Linked DNA regions of Rattus norvegicus. The protein of the gene in region 1 binds, or shares a complex with, the protein of each later gene. Links are inferred from orthologs where the notes say so. Each region holds a gene or a part of one and is shown in the gene's direction. Other genes may lie near its edges. The genes, in order: Cenpa, Cenpc, Ntmt1 and Hjurp.

Region 1 (4,077 bases):
GTGTGTGTCTTTGACTTCTGGATCATATAGTAATTCTGTGTTTAAATGTTGTGTTTGTAGGTAGCATACTGGAGCTTGAACCAGTTGGCTGTTGGCTTTTTGTTTGTTTGAGACAAAAATAAAATAAAATCTCACTCACAGCTCTGACAAGCCTGGAACTCACTAGGTAGGTCGGCTGCCCCTGAGCTTGTAACAAACCTGCTTCTATTTCCCGAGTGCTGGGATTAAAGGAATCCACAGATGACGCCAGAGCACCTGTGGCCCAATCATCTCCCAAAGTCCCCACTCCTGAACAGGGAACACCAAGCTTTTGGAGGACATTTCAAATTCGAACCATGACACATTTCCATAGCAGCTGCGCCATTTTACACCACCCACCCCAATGTTCCACAAGGCTTCTATGAAACCACTGATTATATAAGTATTTTCCTGATTAGAGTACACGTTCACGATAGATCATTTAGAAAACTCAAAAAAGCAAAATGACGAAACTGAAATTCTCTTTATTCTAATTAGGGAGACATGACCTGAATTCATTTTACCCCCAGGAGAAAAGGGAAAAGACGGTTTTTCTCGGACAATTCTGTCATTGTGTTCGATAGCACGGTCCAAGAATAGTGTTGGCGCCTGCCCTCCTGGACCTTGTGCTCAGATCCCATGGTCCTGGCTGTCACCACCACCCTATCTTCTGAAAGGATGACGCAGTTAACCTGGTTTCTGAATCACACTTGCTGGTTGCTTTCAAGAGGGTTACGGGCGCTGGTGGAGTTGTCACATTCTTGGGCAGTCTGTTTCCGCATTTTTAGAGCCACTCAATGTTTGATAGGAAAGCATGCAACGTTTGAGGAAATGAGCTCTAAAACCCATCATCCACATAAGAACTGAATTGTCCTTTAGCCCAGAGTGGTCCTGAGAAAGTGAGTCCTGTCCGTAAGGGATCAAGAAGCAAAGGGTGGGAAAGTCCCGCCTTTTCCTTCGCTTCTCCAAGTACCCATTGGCGGACTCTGAGGTTCAGGCAATTGTTCCCATTGGCTCTTCCGAATGTCGCTCTACGCTCAGAGCCAGCCACTGAGAGTCACGGAGTGGATTTTAAAAATGCGGTGGGCGGAGCGTCTGATTTTTGAACTACTGGCGGCGGAGATCCGGCGTCCCTGACTCGGGCACGGTAGGCTTGCTGTCGAGTTCCGTTTTGGCCGCAGGACCCGGAAGGCTTAGGAGGAGTCGGCTGAGCCCGGACCCTCGCGTCCAGCCATGGTCGGGCGCCGCAAGCCAGGGACCCCGAGGAGGCGACCCTCTAGTCCGGCGCCCGGACCCTCTCAGCCAGCCACGGACTCGCGTCGCCAGTCGAGGACTCCGACGAGGCGGCCCTCCAGTCCGGCGCCCGGACCCTCGCGACGGAGCTCCGGAGTAGGTAAGCGGGCCTTCCCTGCACCACCGAGGCTGCTTCCGTGACCTTGCGAGGCGGGCCAGCAGAGGGACCCTTGCCCCTGGTCAAGCCATGCCGCTAACCACGCATGGGGTTAATGGTTTCTTTCCTGGCCATTTTACAGCCGGAGGGGGGGAAAAAAAGAAGAGCCGCAGACCAGATAGGTTGCTTGAGCAGAGATACACAACACATTCTAACAGACACGGGGTCTTTTTTAAGGATTTATTTAATATTTGTGTGTGTGTGTGTGTGTGTGTGTGTGTGTGTGTGTGTGTGTGAGAGAGAGAGAGAGAGAGAGAGAGAGTGTGTGTGTGAGAGTGAGTGTGTGTGTGTGTGTGTGTGTGTGTGTGTGTGTGTGTGTGTGTGTGTGTGTCTGAGTGTATGCTACATGTGCGAAGGTGCTGGCGATAGCCAGAAGAGGGCATCGGAAGCCCGGAGCCGGGAGTTACAGAGAGTTGTGGAGCTGCCCAGTAAGAGTGCTGGAACAGAACCCAGGCCCCCTGGAAGAGCAGCTAGCGCTATTAACAGCTGAGCTAGTTTTCCAACGCCTACTTTTTATTATTTATTTGCAGGGCTAGAGATAGAACTCAGGACTCTGAGCTTGCTAGGCAAGGGTTCGATTATAGAACTACATCTCCAACCCTCTGTATGAAGGGCTTTAGAATTAGATTTACATGCCTGCTTCTTCCTCTCTGTACTTGGATTAAAGGCACACACCACCACATTCAATTTTTCACAGAGGGACCGTGAGGCTCTAAAGGAATAGTGTGGTCATGTTTGTACCTACCGCTGCCAGAGCTGATGTATCTGTATGATGTTGGCTGTTGATTTCCAGTGTAGAAGCAACCTTCCATTACTCTTATCTTAGGGAAAAGTTTTATCTCAGATGTGCTCACACACTTCTTGACTCTCCTACTGCCCTTGTCTAGTAAGCTTGCTTCCAGCTATTTAGCGCTTTTTCCTTCTTCCACTTCCTTCAGCCTAAGCCCTTGCCCTCACACTCACGGCCTTTTCCTGGATGTCCCCTTCCTTTCCCAAGTCATCCCTTCTTTTATGTGGGCTCTTGGATATATCTTCCTTTTGTGCTGTAAGGGACTTTGTTGTCCTTGCTACCTTGCTCTACATAACAGCTCTCAGCCATCTGAAGCTCCAGTTCCAGAGGATCCTTCTGGCCTCTGCAGGCACTGCATACGCAGACATACATGTAGGCAAAACAGATACACCTAGAATAAGATAAAACCAGTTTTTTTTTTTTTTTTTTTTTTTTTGGTTCTTTTTTTCGGAGCTGAGGACCAAACCCAGGGCCTTGCGCTTCCTTGGTAAGCGCTCTACCACTGAGCTAAATCCCCAACCCCCGATAAAACCGGTTTTGGTGCGACAGTGGCTTCCACATATCTCAGGCCACCCTGGAGCTCAGGACACCTTGTCTCTGCTTCCCAGTTGTTGGAATTGTAGGTGAGAGCCCATGGGCCTGGCTGGAAAGAGCCTTAGTATGTAAGTCCTGCTTGAAATTCTCTGGCTCCCAACTGCTTATGTTGACTCTTGAGACCCGGCTTCAGTGTGTTTGAACCCAGTCTCTCCGGGTCGACTCCGATGCCTTGCGTTTCATAAACATCTGTTCTTGCATCATGAATCTTAGAGCTCTCTTCCTCTTATATTTCTCAAAAATCTTCCTTTTTGGGGGAGAAAATAAGGCCTCACCAGTCTAGGCTCCTACCTCTGCCTGTCGAGCCATGGATTGCAAGTGCACAGCATGGCGCCCAGTTCTCTCCTCTGTTCCAACTCCTTGGGTAGAGTTTATTTGGATTCTTGAGTTTGGCTCCCTTCTCTTCTGGTGTTAGTCGAGTTCTTTGGTGGTCTCTGGTTGTGCTGCCTTTGTTTTCTGTGAGCGTGTACCTGGTAACAACACCCTCTCACCACCCCTCCCTCAGCTGTGCTCCCATAAGTGGTGGGGAAGAGGCAGCTACTCATAGTTTATCTCTTAGTCGTGGTGCATCATGGTTAGCGTCAGTGGACAGCCTGCTATGAATTTAGTCACCCAGGAAGGGGGAACTTCAGCTGAGGAATTGCTTCTGTCAGAGTGGCTGGCCTATGGCCATGTCTGTGAAATATTTTTTAAAATATTTATTTAATGTATATTACAGATGGTTGTGAGCCACCATGTAGTTGCTGGGATTTGAACTCAGGACCTCTGGAAGGACATTCAGTGCTCTTAACCACTGAGCCACCTCCAGCCCATGTGAAGCATTTTTTTTTTAAATTGCTTATCGATGTCGGAAGGCCCAGTCCACTGTGGGTGGCGCTGCCACCTCCTATGTGGGTAGGTGGGCTTGAACTCACATAACCCCTTTCCTCCCCAGGTTGGTCTTCGAGGTGGTGTTTTAATCGCAGCAACAGCAACCAAAGTAGAGCAGGGTCCTCCCTCTTTGTCTTAAGTGTCTCCAGTCTCCTAGACACTGCTTGGGACTTCGGCTCACTCGGGATTAAGTCTCCACCACCTGCCTGGCACGGCCCACCTCTCCTCTCGTCTCCCTTCTTCCATTTTCCTCAGGTGTTCCTTACTGCTGGGGATAGAGTCTCTTTCTTGGCTGGACCTTAAGTAACCCAGCTAAAGCTAAGGGTTCCTGTGTGCAGCACCAGGGGTTGAACCC
Region 2 (4,105 bases), on another chromosome or scaffold:
AATAGGACAAAGTGACTAGGTAACTAAGTTTGCAGCACCTCTGCTGCCCTCTGGCGGATCTGACTGGCAAGCTCGGCAGACATCATGAGCACATTTAGCTTGTATTGAACTCCATCATTCTAAAATAATCTGCAATTAAATATTTTTTTATAGGAATGATTGCTTTGTCTGCATGTATGCAAGGACATCGCGTGCGTGCTTGCTGACAGCCGAGGACGTCAGATCCCCCGGAACTGGAGCTACGAATGGTTGAATTGCTTTGTGGGTGCTGGGAACCGAACTTTGCTCCTTTGAAAGTGCAGCAAGAGCTCTTGACCACAGAGACATCGCTCCAGACCCTACCTACCTACCTACCTACCTACCTACCTACCTGTCTGTCTGTCTGTCTGTCTGTCTGTCTGCCTGCCTGCCTATCTATCTATCTATCTATCTATCTATCTATCTATCTATCTATCTACTTTTTGCATTCTGTCTCCTTAGGAAATAGATCAGCTTCAGGCGCGACCATGTGACTCTAGGTGACTTGTGTATGGTGGGTCACCTAGAGTCACGTGGAGAAGACAAAACACATATCCGTGTGTATTTTTGTTTTCCAATTTTCGCATAAGACAGAAGCAGCCACTTTCTCTTAAAAAGATCTATGTTCGTTGTACTGTTATACATATAATTTATGCCAATCATTCTGCTTGCAATGATGCTTCATAAATAATTTCTAAATACTTGAAAAAGATCGAAGACATTATTTTCTGAGATAATGCATAGATGGACTGGTTGTAGCTGACGAATCTGCGTAGAGTTATCTGCTCAAAACGCCAGCAATTTCTACTTCTAATCCTTTTTAGTATTACCTATTAATCCGTAATAAAACTGCTGGGATGTATTATTTATTATACATTTATCTCAAGGAGCAAAGGTGGTGCTCAATACCTGCATTTTAGATACAAGTAGCGGTAGACGCAGCAAAGAGGCTGAAGAAAGGAGACGCAGGAGGGAAGGAGCGCCCAGCACTCTCCAAGCCCACCAGCGAGAGGCGTGCCGACAGGCGAGAGGCGTGGCGACGGGAGGGAGGCGGGGCGACGGGAGAGTGGCAGGAGGACGGGCGAGAGGAGGTGCGATGGGCGAGAGGCGGGGCGATGGGTGGGAGGGTGGGACGACAGTAAAAAGGCAAGGCGTAGGGAGGGAGGGCGGGGCGGCCTGAGAAAGGCGGGTTGATAGGTGGATAGCAGGAGACGGGGCGGGGCCAAGGGCGGGAATCTGAAAACGCAAGTAACGGCCGCTGTCAAGTTGGCTGAGCTAGGCTTGTGCGCATGCGTGGCTCATTTGAAAATTTTTTTCCCTCCAGGCTGGTCTCTGCTGTTTGTTCAGGGCTGTCTTAAGTGCAGGTCTGGCGGTTCTTGGGAAGCCTCCGTCCGCAATCTAACGCTAGCTGAGTGATTTTTAACCTCCTGGAACCCTGGCCTGCTTGGGTTTCCCTCTCAGGCCTCCGTTGGGCCTAGTGGGCCGGAACCATGGCCTCGTTCCATCTGGTAAGTGCGGGTCTGGGTCGGGCCTGCGCGATGAGTGAGTCGGTCGTCTCGTGCTCGAGCGATCGGGACGCGGGGCGGGGGCTGCGTCCGGCTTGTGAGAGGTGCGGAGGGGTGGGATGGGGCGGGTGCCTTTTCCCGCTGGCCAGAGTCGGGTGGGGCTTGTCGGGGTGTATTGAGAACTGCACAGGTAACAAATCAGATGTGATTGTTTACCGGTACCTGAAGTGACTGAACTGGTAGTCCCAAGGTTGTACATCCTAATCTCATCCGTGCCTGCTTTTTTTCTCTGAAGAGCTTGTTCCAGTGTCTACGTTTCAGCCTTTTCCCGTTCTGCAGTCTTCCAAATAGTCATGACTATTGTACAAGTCAGTCAGCCTTGATGGTCTGGAAAACCTCAAGTATTAATTTCTCCATCAAAACAAAGCTAAACCCTTTATTCGACGTTATTTGTCGAAATACTATTTTATGTGAAGAGTCTAATATTTATGGGACACCTGTTAAGGATAAAGCTTTATATAAGGCAACCATATTTTGAAAGGTGCCAACTTCGAAATGTTTGACCTGGACCATAACTTGCAACTTTTATGTTTCTTGACACACTCGATACTCATTACAAGTTTTCTATGATTACTATGCCTTATTTCTGTCCTAATCTAGCAGTTCTATTTTTCTTTTTAAAAAAATCTTCATTGATGGTTTCCTATTATGTAGTTGTGTGTGTGTGTGTGTGTGTGTGTGTATGTTTGAACATGTATGAAAAGACAGTAGAGTGTGTATTCTGCAAAATCATGTATATTATTTACGTTGCACGTGATCAGAGAAAAGAAACATTAAAGCCATAAAGAACGAAGCTTAACAAAGCCCGCTGTACATTATCATATGCCAATTATAACCCTACGACTGTTAGGAGTTTTGTACTTCTGACGTCTGTGCGTTGTCTATTTAGAAGATAAATGGAAGGATGAGCTGGAGAATGTTCTCAGATGTTTTTATATACAAGGGTTTTCAAGATAATTTCCTACCTTAGACATATTTTGTCATATTCAAAGGAACTTTTGTGTTTGCCAGAGTAGGCTTGGAGTTGGGGTGTGGACGATGGAGAGGATGGGAAGTGTTCCAGAACACTTAGTGGATATGTATAGGCGCAAACCAAACCAAAAAACTATTGCACAGTTTTGTTTTGTGTTTTTTTTTTGTTTTGTTTTGTTTTTGAGAAGTGCAGTATCATAGCAGAAGAAACTTAAATTGACATCAATTGAAGGATAAATTAAAGTTGACTGTTTGTACTTTCAAATAAATATTTTTTTAAATTAGAACTCAGAGTTAAGGAGCCGTATTTGTCTTGGTGACCACCTGCTTTTAAGTGTGCCTAAGTCACTGACATTCTAGTAGGTGCTCAGTGTTCTGAGCAGGGGACCTATTTTGTCCTAAAAGTTTTCCTGCTTAACAGACTAAGAGGTGCAGGGGTTCATGTTTCAAACCTGTTGCAGGGTGCAGATTTGTGATCCTTCAATTTTGCTGAACATAGAAGTTTTATAAATCGAGGTTTGGAAGCTTGTGTACTTTAACATTCTCAGGATTGGGTTTATTTCTCACATTGATGAATACCAGAAAGAGACCTGAGTGTTTGCTTTAAACGTTTCCATTAAATAAAAAATGCTGGGACTATTGTAAACATGCCACAGCTATGGGGCTGTCATACAGTGCTGTAGAGTTTTATGTGTCCTAGGTTTAATCTTGACACTAAGAGAAAGCTTGTAACGAAGCCAAACTGTTAGGTATTTTTTTTTCCTTTAGTTTGCTCCCTAGATTCCATCTTTTGTTTTTAAACACTTTATGAAGATTATGGACTTTTGCCTTTAAGAATTTTTATTTAAGCTTTTGTCTTATTTATCTGGCATATCTTTTTGTTGTTGTTTGGTTTTGGGACAGTGTCTCGTGTAACCCAGGATGGCCTTCAACAAGAACTCACTATGTAGGCAAGGATGGCTTTGAACTCCTGCATCCACCTTCTAAGTACTGGGGTTATGGGTCTGCAAGATCACCAAGTCCAACTTTTGGTACCACCCCCCCCCCTTTTTTTTTTGAAACAGAGAGTCTCATGTTTCCCAGACTGGCCTTAAACTCTCCTGTCCATTCTTTGTAAATGTTGGGATTGAAAGTTTACCACCACCTCATGTTTACGGGTTCTGGGGATCTGACTCAGAGATTCTAGAATGCTAGGAAACATTTCTACCATCTAAACTCCATTCCTGGTACAGCTTTTTTGTGTGCTAATGTGGCACACAATTTGGTATAAAAGCTCTGGAAAGAAATTATCTCAAGACAAAATCTTCATCCTGTTTATTTTTTCATTAATTAATTAATTAATTCACTTTACACCCCAGTCTAAGTCCCCTCAGAGAAGGGGAAGTCTCCCCCCCCCCCCCCCCCCCAGCACACCTCTCTTTCCCATGGTTGAGTACTAGCCCTCAATTGGATGTCGAGTGGAAGCAGGACTAAGCACATCCTCTCCCACTTAGGCCGGTTGAGCTAGGGGAGTGGATCCAATGGCAGGCAATGGAGTCAAAGAGACAGCC
Region 3 (3,560 bases), on another chromosome or scaffold:
AAGATGTGTGTCTCCGCCCAGGGAGGATGTCTCTCTTGATGTCCCTAATTCTCAGGAGCCTTCAGGCCACACAGTGGGCCCTAGAGAGCCATGTTGGGACAGGGCCTCAGGAAGCATGTGTCTTCTTCCCGAGTTGGCTGTAAGAGCAAATCAACCCAGGACTTGCATTCCCCAGTCTGGATGTGTCCATCCCCTGCTCCAGCCCCACCCCTCCCCCATAGCTGCTCCCTAGTAGCTAGTGGGGTTCTTGTAAATGAGATTTTTTCAAGAGACTTTGTGGCATTTAAAGGAATTATGCCACAGGCTTTTAGTAAAGCAACAGATATTGTTGGTAATAGTAGTGTCGTCTGGTTTGAGGGGTCTAGGAGCCTCCAAAAGTGAGAAATGGCTGCCCCCACGCATGCTCCCTCGCTCAGTCATTCTACCGCCAACTAGCAAGCCCAGCTGAACTCCAGCACCCCAAAAGACGCTTGGAGGAGCGGGCAAACTGGGGGGCAGCAGAGAGGCGGAGTGTGCTCCCTTCTGTGGGTGTCTCCCATTTCCCCTCTCACCTGGTAAGGGCCAGATCGCGTGCTGCAGGCCCGCGTGCTGCGTGGGCTATGAGGAAATAACTGAAGTCGTCGTTTTCACATTGGAGGGGGCTTTGAACATCAGTCTGAACATTTTCTTAGGACTTAGGGACAGCGAGGAAGGCTGGCTGCTGGGCCCCAGTACGGGCGGGGCCAGCACAGAGCTCGTGTGTGTGTGTGGAAGAGGCCTGAATATCGTCCTAGCTGCTGGTGGCTGTGACAGAGTTGCTGTGGTGCCTAAAGAGGCACCTGACAGCCCTCTTGTCCCAGGTCATTCTCAGTCCCCAATCAAGTACATGGTGATGGCTCATGTACCATGTCTCTGGTTCTCAAGCCACAGTACCGCTCCGCTGGTAGAGGAGATGTTCTTGGGGGACCTACCGGTCTGCACATTGCTCTGTGGGCCAGGGCATCGGTTCTCAGAAGCCTGCCGTTGTCTTCCCTGGGCCAGTGCTGCTGCTGCTGCTGGCAGGGCATTGTGGTAAAGGAGTGTGCCATTTAGAACCAAGGTCCTCAATCTGTTGCTCCAAGGGCCTCTTGGGGTGCAGTACAGCCATGTAAGACGTCTTCCTCTGACACCAAGCCCTTGTCCCAAAGAGTGTGGTTGTGGTGCAGTGGGGGCTGGTGACAGATAAGGCCACTGTGCTCTTGTGTTCCCTCCCCCTTCCAGTCACAGAAGTACTCGGCAGGGACCTCCCAGCAGCCCACGGGGCTCCTTTCTGGTGTGAGCCTCTTTATTGCTCTCTTCTCTGGCTTTGCTCTTTTGCTCCCAGAGTCCCATGCTGACTGTTAGTGTTGAGCTGTGTGACTTAGGTGCTCGGTGACACCGCCTGTCATAGTGGTATCCAAGTCGGTGGGGTGAGACCTGGAGCTCCAAGGCTGGCCATGTTCCTATAGCATCCTAGCTTCCTCACTGGCCCTCCAAGCAGACACACTGTTGCCTCCTAAGGGCCTTCCTTTGTCATTAGCCTGGCAGACATGGTGCCGAGGGCCGTCATGGTGTGAAGTGTGAATGGCAGGGCCCTGCCCCGTGAAGCCAGTGTTTTAGCGGAAAAGCTGCCTGTGTGGGGAGAGCAGTGCATGGACCCTTTGACCTGGGCAGGGCTTTTAGTTTCTATGTCCCCCGGGTCCCTCTTCTGTACAGTGGGTAATGGTGGCAGGGGAAGGTCGGATGCTGGACAGTGGCTGAGCAGTGACCGACACTTGTCCACTGTCTTTCAGCACAGCTACCGCTGTATCTGCTTCCCCCTGACACCCTCGGGTTAGTCCTGGGTGTTTCTCGTGAATTGGACACTTAATTAGTTTTCAGTGACTATCAACTTCGTGAGCTCCTCAGCCAGCAGGAGCCAGCAGGGGCCAGCAGGAGCCAGCAGAGGCCAGCAGGGGCCAGCAGGCCGCAGTTCAGGGCTGCTCCTCTGTAAAAGTCTTCTGCTGCTTCTCAGTCATTCTCACTGTGGCCCTGCTGCTGCCCCTATCACTTTCTCTGTCCCTGTACCCCTCCCCCAGAGGCCCCCCTGCCCCCATTCAGAAAGCAGTCCTCTAGAGCCCACCAGGCCCAGTGGGGTGCTTATCCAGTGGTACAAGACCTGGGTTCCACTGGAAACAAAAGGAAGAGATGGCTCCATTGACTGCACAGCCTTTATGAAAGCCATGTAAGGACGGAGGGGCCCTTGTTTTCTGCTGTGTTTAGCAGCTTTCTGCTTCCCTGTCTCCTGCTGGACTGTGAACACCGATCCTCGCACTAGCTGGGACACAGGGGAGCCAGCACCTCCCACAGTTGTGATCCTGCGTCTTCCACAACACATGGTGTGGAAGCTGGCGTGGGTGCTGCCAGCCTAGTTCTTCCTGTTGGGGTCCTGTTTGTGCCTAGCTCCTGCCTATTGCCACAGTCTGGTGCCTGGCAGAGAACGTGCTCTGGAATGAAGGGCTGGCCCTCCCTGACCTGTTCGCTTGCCACTGAGGGAGTAGAAAGGGAAGGAAGTTGCTCAGGCCTTCTGGGGTGTCCATAGCAGAAGTCAGGGAACCCTGCTCTGTGGCCTTTGCCTGTCCTGAGGTCAAGAGAGTCACATGGATGTCCGGGATGTTGGGCTGCCTAGGCGACTGGATGTTGCTTTCTCAGGGCTTCATTACCTCTCAGAGAGGTAGTGCCTCTCGCATTATGGCCTGTATACTAGAGGCTTCCTGCCATTCAGTGCCCTGTTGACCCTGCCTCTTCCGTGTTCAGGGGAGCAGAGCAGTGGCTGGTGACTGTGCAGCTGGTGACGTCATGACAAGCGAGGTGATCGAAGATGAGAAACAGTTTTATTCGAAGGCCAAGACCTACTGGAAGCAGATTCCGCCCACGGTGGACGGCATGCTCGGGGGGTATGGCCACATCTCCAACATCGACCTCAACAGCTCCCGGAAGTTTCTGCAGAGGTTTTTAAGGGTAGGCAGGTCTGATGTCCTCTCCAGGAGAGGCTGTGGCTCTGGCGGGGCAGTGCGGGGAGCCTCTTCCACATACCACACTGCAGGTTCTCTGCTCATCTTGTTGGTGGCTGCCACCAAGGCCCTGAAGATCTGGGTGGTGATTGGGTGGGACTTGTGGACCGTGAGTTTTGTCTCAGGGCCACAAGTCAGAAGCTGGCCATGCACTAGGGACTTAGTAGTCTGGGAACAGTCACTGCTGGGCCTAAGAGTGTGCGGACTGTGGGTGGTGACCGTCCTCCCTTCTCAGCTCTGTGCAGCTCAGGGGTGAGCCTTGGAGGAGGCCCTTACCCTCTCTCCACACCCCCATGGGCCATCCCTAACTCTGTCACCCTATGGGCTCCTGGGAGCTCTGAAGTGAGAGCAGATTGTGCACCTGTTTTTTCTAGCTGTCACCTTGAAAGTGACCTGAGAAAGACTTCCACTTGCCCTTCTGTGACAAACCAGTGCAGGTGCCTGACTCGGCTTTCTGGGACTCAGAGGAAGGGCCCTGCGGTTGTGGTGTCTTGTGGGTCATATGTCGTC
Region 4 (4,189 bases), on another chromosome or scaffold:
TTTTCTCAATGACAATCAGTATTCTGAAACCATTTCCACCTATGTAGCTAAACGCACTCTGATGAACTGTTTATGCCTCTTTCTAACACAGTGGTCATGAACGTTCTATCCGGAGTCAAGATTATCTGTAAATTGACAGCGTCTTGGGTATTTTGTTATTACTGTGAGAAAACACCTAGCAAAAAGCAAGTTAAGGAAAGAAAGTTCGACTTTAAGCTTGCAGTCCAGAGAAGTTCAGCACATCAGGATGGGGAAAGCTAGAGGCACACAGGAGACAGAATAGCATATCTGGTTGACACCACCACCGTTGCTCTGAAGCAACACATTTTCACATCCTCACATGGAGCAGGGTCATGTCGGGGTAGGGACAGATTGGATGAGACAGCCTCCATTCAATCCCAAGAGAGTTGGACAACTGACGCCCTCCCGGAAGCTGAGTATCTTGAAAGGGACTTGATAGCTCATCTCTGTGCCTGTTGCAAATACATTGCTTGGACATCCACAGTCTCTGAACCCGGAAGCTCTTCTTCCCTTCCCCGGTTTCAGTGGGACAGCATGAAAAGGTTATGGGGCAGGCTGAGAAATAGAGAGGCGACTCAAGGGATTTCCTGATACTCAGTAATGACTCCATTTTCGCCCGCATTGTGATAACCACGCTAACACAAGCACACGGATGCAGCTGTTATGAAGCCAGAGTAAAACCAAATTAGTCTGAAGTTCAATCCCCCAGCTCCGCAAGAAGACAACCCCCCCCAAAAAAATCTGAAAATGTTCTAAAGTGTCAAGGTAAGTATTCTCATAAAATGGACACGAAATCACCTACCCCCTCAAGGAACAAGATAAATATCAATCAAGAAACAGCCTATAACCAGAAACGGGAAAGAAAGTTTATCAAAACCCTAGGATAAAAACCACAGATTCTGTCACGCTTATAATATCGATCAGCACATTTATACGTGTCTTGTCTTTGAATACTGGCTTTCCCGACTCCTTTCAGGACCATTATTTGGAGCTGGCTTTTCCCAAACCTTCCCAAGAGCTGGGAAATTGGTAGATTCAGGCGGGGTGTGGGAGCCTTGACGGGCAACTCACCCAGACGCCTCTAGGGGGCGCAGAAGTGCCGCATGAAGTAATGCGCATGCTCCACCGGCTCCCTAGCCCTCTCTTTCTTCTCTCCCCTTCCCGTTTCTGCCGGAAGCGCTCCCTGAGAGAGGCGGAAACTCGAGCAGGATCGGTTGCGTAAATACTTTCGAAAGGACCTATCAGCGCTTGGGGCGCCATGTTTGATCTGTGAGCGGGCTTGGGCGGGTGTTGTGCTCGGGGGTTGAGCCACGCACGCCATGGAGTCTATGAATCTGCGGGATCGCCCGCTGGATCAGCGTCTCAAGGAAAGCAGTAGACGCTTCCAGACGTACATGCAGCGGCTGATAGCGAAGGTGGGCTGGGACGACCGTGGCGGGAAGGGCGCGGCGGGCGGGAATCCAACACCCTCACGTCTGACCAGCTCTCCTTCCCCGCAGTACAACCAACCCTTTGAGGATGACCCGTTGGTGCAGATGGCCACGCTGACTTACGAGACGCCCCAGGGTACGGAACCCTCTCTTTCTTTTGGCAGCGTGCTACAACAATGGGGTCTAGAATTTGCAATGCAGACCTAGAATCCATGAACTGCTGATGTCCAGTTCATTTCTCTGAGAGAAATGCCTGGAGACACAGGTGCAGCCTGGTTTTTAAAATGCCTGCCGTGGAAGTCCGAGCTAATTGATTAGCGGCACAGTGTCTCTGTAAAATAAGGATGTTGACAACCATGGGTACTCCATATGGGTGTGTTCACTGGAGTGCCTGTCAAGCCATTTGGAACTGCACCCAGGACTGCTCCGTTTTCATAGGCTATGCCATAGTCCTATTATCTTCCTCTTCTGAAGCCATTTTATTTAATGTTGTGAACTGCCTTAAACCTAATGTGTTCTCTAACTGGGGTATGTTTGTATTGGATGACGTTATTTCCTTCCCTAAGACCCATCCCAGATGTTTGTCTTCATTTATTGATAAAATCTGATTTGGGATCACAGTCTGCCAAGGGTCCAGAGGACCAGCTCTTTGACAAGTGCAGTCTGCCCTTTGTCTTTTTGACTGTTCAAGGCACGACGTATTGGGTAAGCATTTTCCGTAGTCAGAAACTGAAGTAATACTGCAATGGGTTGCTTTTCTCTGGATGGGATCAGGACACAGTAGTGTAGGAATCCTTCAGTGTGCTCTCTGTCTCTCAGCTTTTCTGTGTTCTTGTGGCTGTTGGGGGTGGTTGGTGGAATATTTTGGACAGCCCATCTATCTTAAAATGATATATTTTGTCGGCGATATATAACTGCTGTCAGTTATATGAGAAGAGTGAGGTGTCTAAAGAGTTTGAGACCATACAGATGGGCAATAGAACGAAGTCCCGACTTAAGGCGGAGACTGGAGCAGAGAGCTGACTGCAGAGAACAATACAGGAATCTGTTCGAGTGTATTGACAGTTCACCTGTGTCTGCACTTAGGAGTTTTTGTAGAGTTCGGTTTCAAACATGCAACATAAGCACTTAAAAAAAAAAAAAAGGAAATGCAATTAAATGTAGATTCCCACAGAGTAGCCAAGCCTTGATTTGACTCTGAGCTCTTAGAGTCAAGCATCACTGTCTTCTGGAAAGGCTGTGACCTACAGTGGTCAGTGCAGTCAGACCTCCCAGAATTCACATGCTGGTTACACTGCATGAAGGAAGAGCCTGTGTCTAGTCCTCTGAACTTTTCCTCTTTGCATCTCTGTCCGTACAGTGAACATGGTAAGTCTCTGTCCTGTGGGCTTTGAGGAGGGTATAGGAGTCACATGCAAACGGGTTCTGACTACTACATGGTATGTCCTTGCTGAATTCTGGAGCATAGAGGATGCTGTGTAATTTTTCTCCCCCTGCTTCTCTTATAATACAACCATCTCAAATCTCTAAACCCACCATTTTTCCAAGTAGCATGTGTTTTCCTGGGAGATTTAGGGCTGAGTACATCGCATGGGTTCTGCTAGCTGGGGAGTGACAGGGCTGGTGCACTCAAGCTCCAGAATTCTCTGTACACGGGCTTCTCAGTACTGTGCTTCTAGATTGCCCAAGAAAGCACTGACTCCCAGGATGAGGTCAAATGTATGATACGCATCTCTGTCCCCCATCTTAGTTAGGGTTTTACTGCTGTGAACAGACACCAAGACCAAGGCAAGTCTTATAAAAAAAAAAAAAAAACAAAAAAAAACAAAAAAAAAACATTTAATTGGGGCTGGCTTACAGGTTCAGAGGTTCAGCCCGTTATCATCAAGGCAGGAGCATGGCAGCATCCAGGCAGACATGGTGCAGGAGGAGCTGAGAGTTCTACATCTTCAACTAAAGGCTGCTAGCAGCATACTGACTTCCAGGCAGCCAGGATGAAGTTGGTAAAGCCCACAATGACACACCTACTTTAACAGGGCCACACCTCCTACTCCTGCCACTCCCTGGACTAAACATAGACTGTCTCACACACACCCAACCCCAAACATACAGCTTAAAAATGGTATGTATTTGGAACATGAGCTGTCCGTAGCCCTTTGGGTTCGTACTGGAATTGGGTGAACTGCCACCTTCTGGGTAGGAGAGATGGCCGTTAATGACGTTTGTCCGATCTTGGTTTTTTTAAAACACTTTCTCCTTCACCAAGCTGAACAGGGCTCTGTCAACGCCTGGATCGCTTTTAAGGCAGGCTTTGTGTCGTTCCGTTGGGTTTCCCGTCAAAGCATTTTAAGCAGAAACACGAGCATTTCAGATTGCTTCAGTTTGTCACCTTTGTTTCTTAAGGATTGAGAGTCTGGGGAGGAAAGCTGATAAAGGAAGAAGACGAGGAACACACTCAGGTATTTACGGTCACATTTGCTGCCTTGGTGCTTTGCTATAGTGTGTTGTTGATGTGACTAAATCCCAACACAAGTGAGCCCTGAGGAGGCCACCTCAGGGCAACCGATCTCCTCCTCTGCCTTTGCCCCTCCTGGTGTTTCTTCATCTCCTGGCTCCTGTGTGCTATTTCTCTATCATGGTCCACAGGACCCTAACAGCAAGCTTGTGTGCAGATGCTGGATCAGCTCCGGGGCTTGCAGGGTGTGTCCTAGAGGCAGCTGGGAGCTCTTTTTGTTGGG

The links.
Region 2: Cenpa (region 1) and Cenpc share a complex: the UniProt entries of both Homo sapiens proteins name them as parts of the CENPA-NAC complex. The link is inferred for Rattus norvegicus from reciprocal best matches to the Homo sapiens genes CENPA and CENPC.
Region 3: the proteins of Cenpa (region 1) and Ntmt1 are in contact, whole or in part, in a crystal structure (PDB 5CVD), measured with the Homo sapiens proteins. The link is inferred for Rattus norvegicus from reciprocal best matches to the Homo sapiens genes CENPA and NTMT1. Residues at the interface, in NP_001800.1 of Homo sapiens: Gly2, Pro3, Arg4, Arg5, Arg6, Ser7; in NP_001273725.1 of Homo sapiens: Tyr19, Trp20, Met30, Leu31, Gly32, Tyr34, Ile37, Trp136, Asn168, Ile175, Asp177, Asp180, Asp212, Glu213, Ile214, Tyr215.
Region 4: the proteins of Cenpa (region 1) and Hjurp are in contact, whole or in part, in a crystal structure (PDB 3R45), measured with the Homo sapiens proteins. The link is inferred for Rattus norvegicus from reciprocal best matches to the Homo sapiens genes CENPA and HJURP. Residues at the interface, in NP_001800.1 of Homo sapiens: Lys64, Leu65, Ser68, Arg69, Arg72, Asp83, Phe84, Asn85, Trp86, Gln87, Ala88, Gln89, Leu91, Leu92, Ala93, Glu96, Ala97, Ala100, Phe101, His104, Glu107, Asp108, Leu111, Leu112, Leu114, His115, Ile132, Glu136; in NP_060880.3 of Homo sapiens: Glu14, Asp15, Leu18, Lys21, Leu22, Ser25, Arg26, Arg28, Phe29, Arg32, Met33, Leu36, Lys39, Tyr40, Pro43, Phe44, Thr47, Pro48, Val49, Val50, Gln51, Met52, Ala53, Thr54, Leu55, Ile65, Trp66, Gly67.

What each region holds. Positions count from the first base shown.
Region 1 is NC_086024.1:31,428,711-31,432,787, reverse strand, and holds the start of Cenpa (histone H3-like centromeric protein A), read left to right. Parts: upstream 1-1,235; 5' UTR 1,236-1,251; coding exon 1,252-1,411; intron 1,412-4,077. UniProt on the Homo sapiens protein: Histone H3-like nucleosomal protein that is specifically found in centromeric nucleosomes. Replaces conventional H3 in the nucleosome core of centromeric chromatin that serves as an assembly site for the inner kinetochore.
Region 2 is NC_086032.1:22,341,620-22,345,724, forward strand, and holds the start of Cenpc (centromere protein C), read left to right. Parts: upstream 1-1,290; 5' UTR 1,291-1,508; coding exon 1,509-1,526; intron 1,527-4,105. UniProt on the Homo sapiens protein: Component of the CENPA-NAC (nucleosome-associated) complex, a complex that plays a central role in assembly of kinetochore proteins, mitotic progression and chromosome segregation.
Region 3 is NC_086021.1:34,501,726-34,505,285, forward strand, and holds part of Ntmt1 (N-terminal Xaa-Pro-Lys N-methyltransferase 1), read left to right. Parts: intron 1-2,793; coding exon of another isoform or gene 2,794-2,835; coding exon 2,836-2,997; intron 2,998-3,560. UniProt on the Homo sapiens protein: Distributive alpha-N-methyltransferase that methylates the N-terminus of target proteins containing the N-terminal motif [Ala/Gly/Pro/Ser]-Pro-Lys when the initiator Met is cleaved.
Region 4 is NC_086027.1:96,312,610-96,316,798, reverse strand, and holds the start of Hjurp (Holliday junction recognition protein), read left to right. Parts: upstream 1-1,340; coding exon 1,341-1,436; intron 1,437-1,520; coding exon 1,521-1,587; intron 1,588-3,854; coding exon 3,855-3,910; intron 3,911-4,189. UniProt on the Homo sapiens protein: Centromeric protein that plays a central role in the incorporation and maintenance of histone H3-like variant CENPA at centromeres.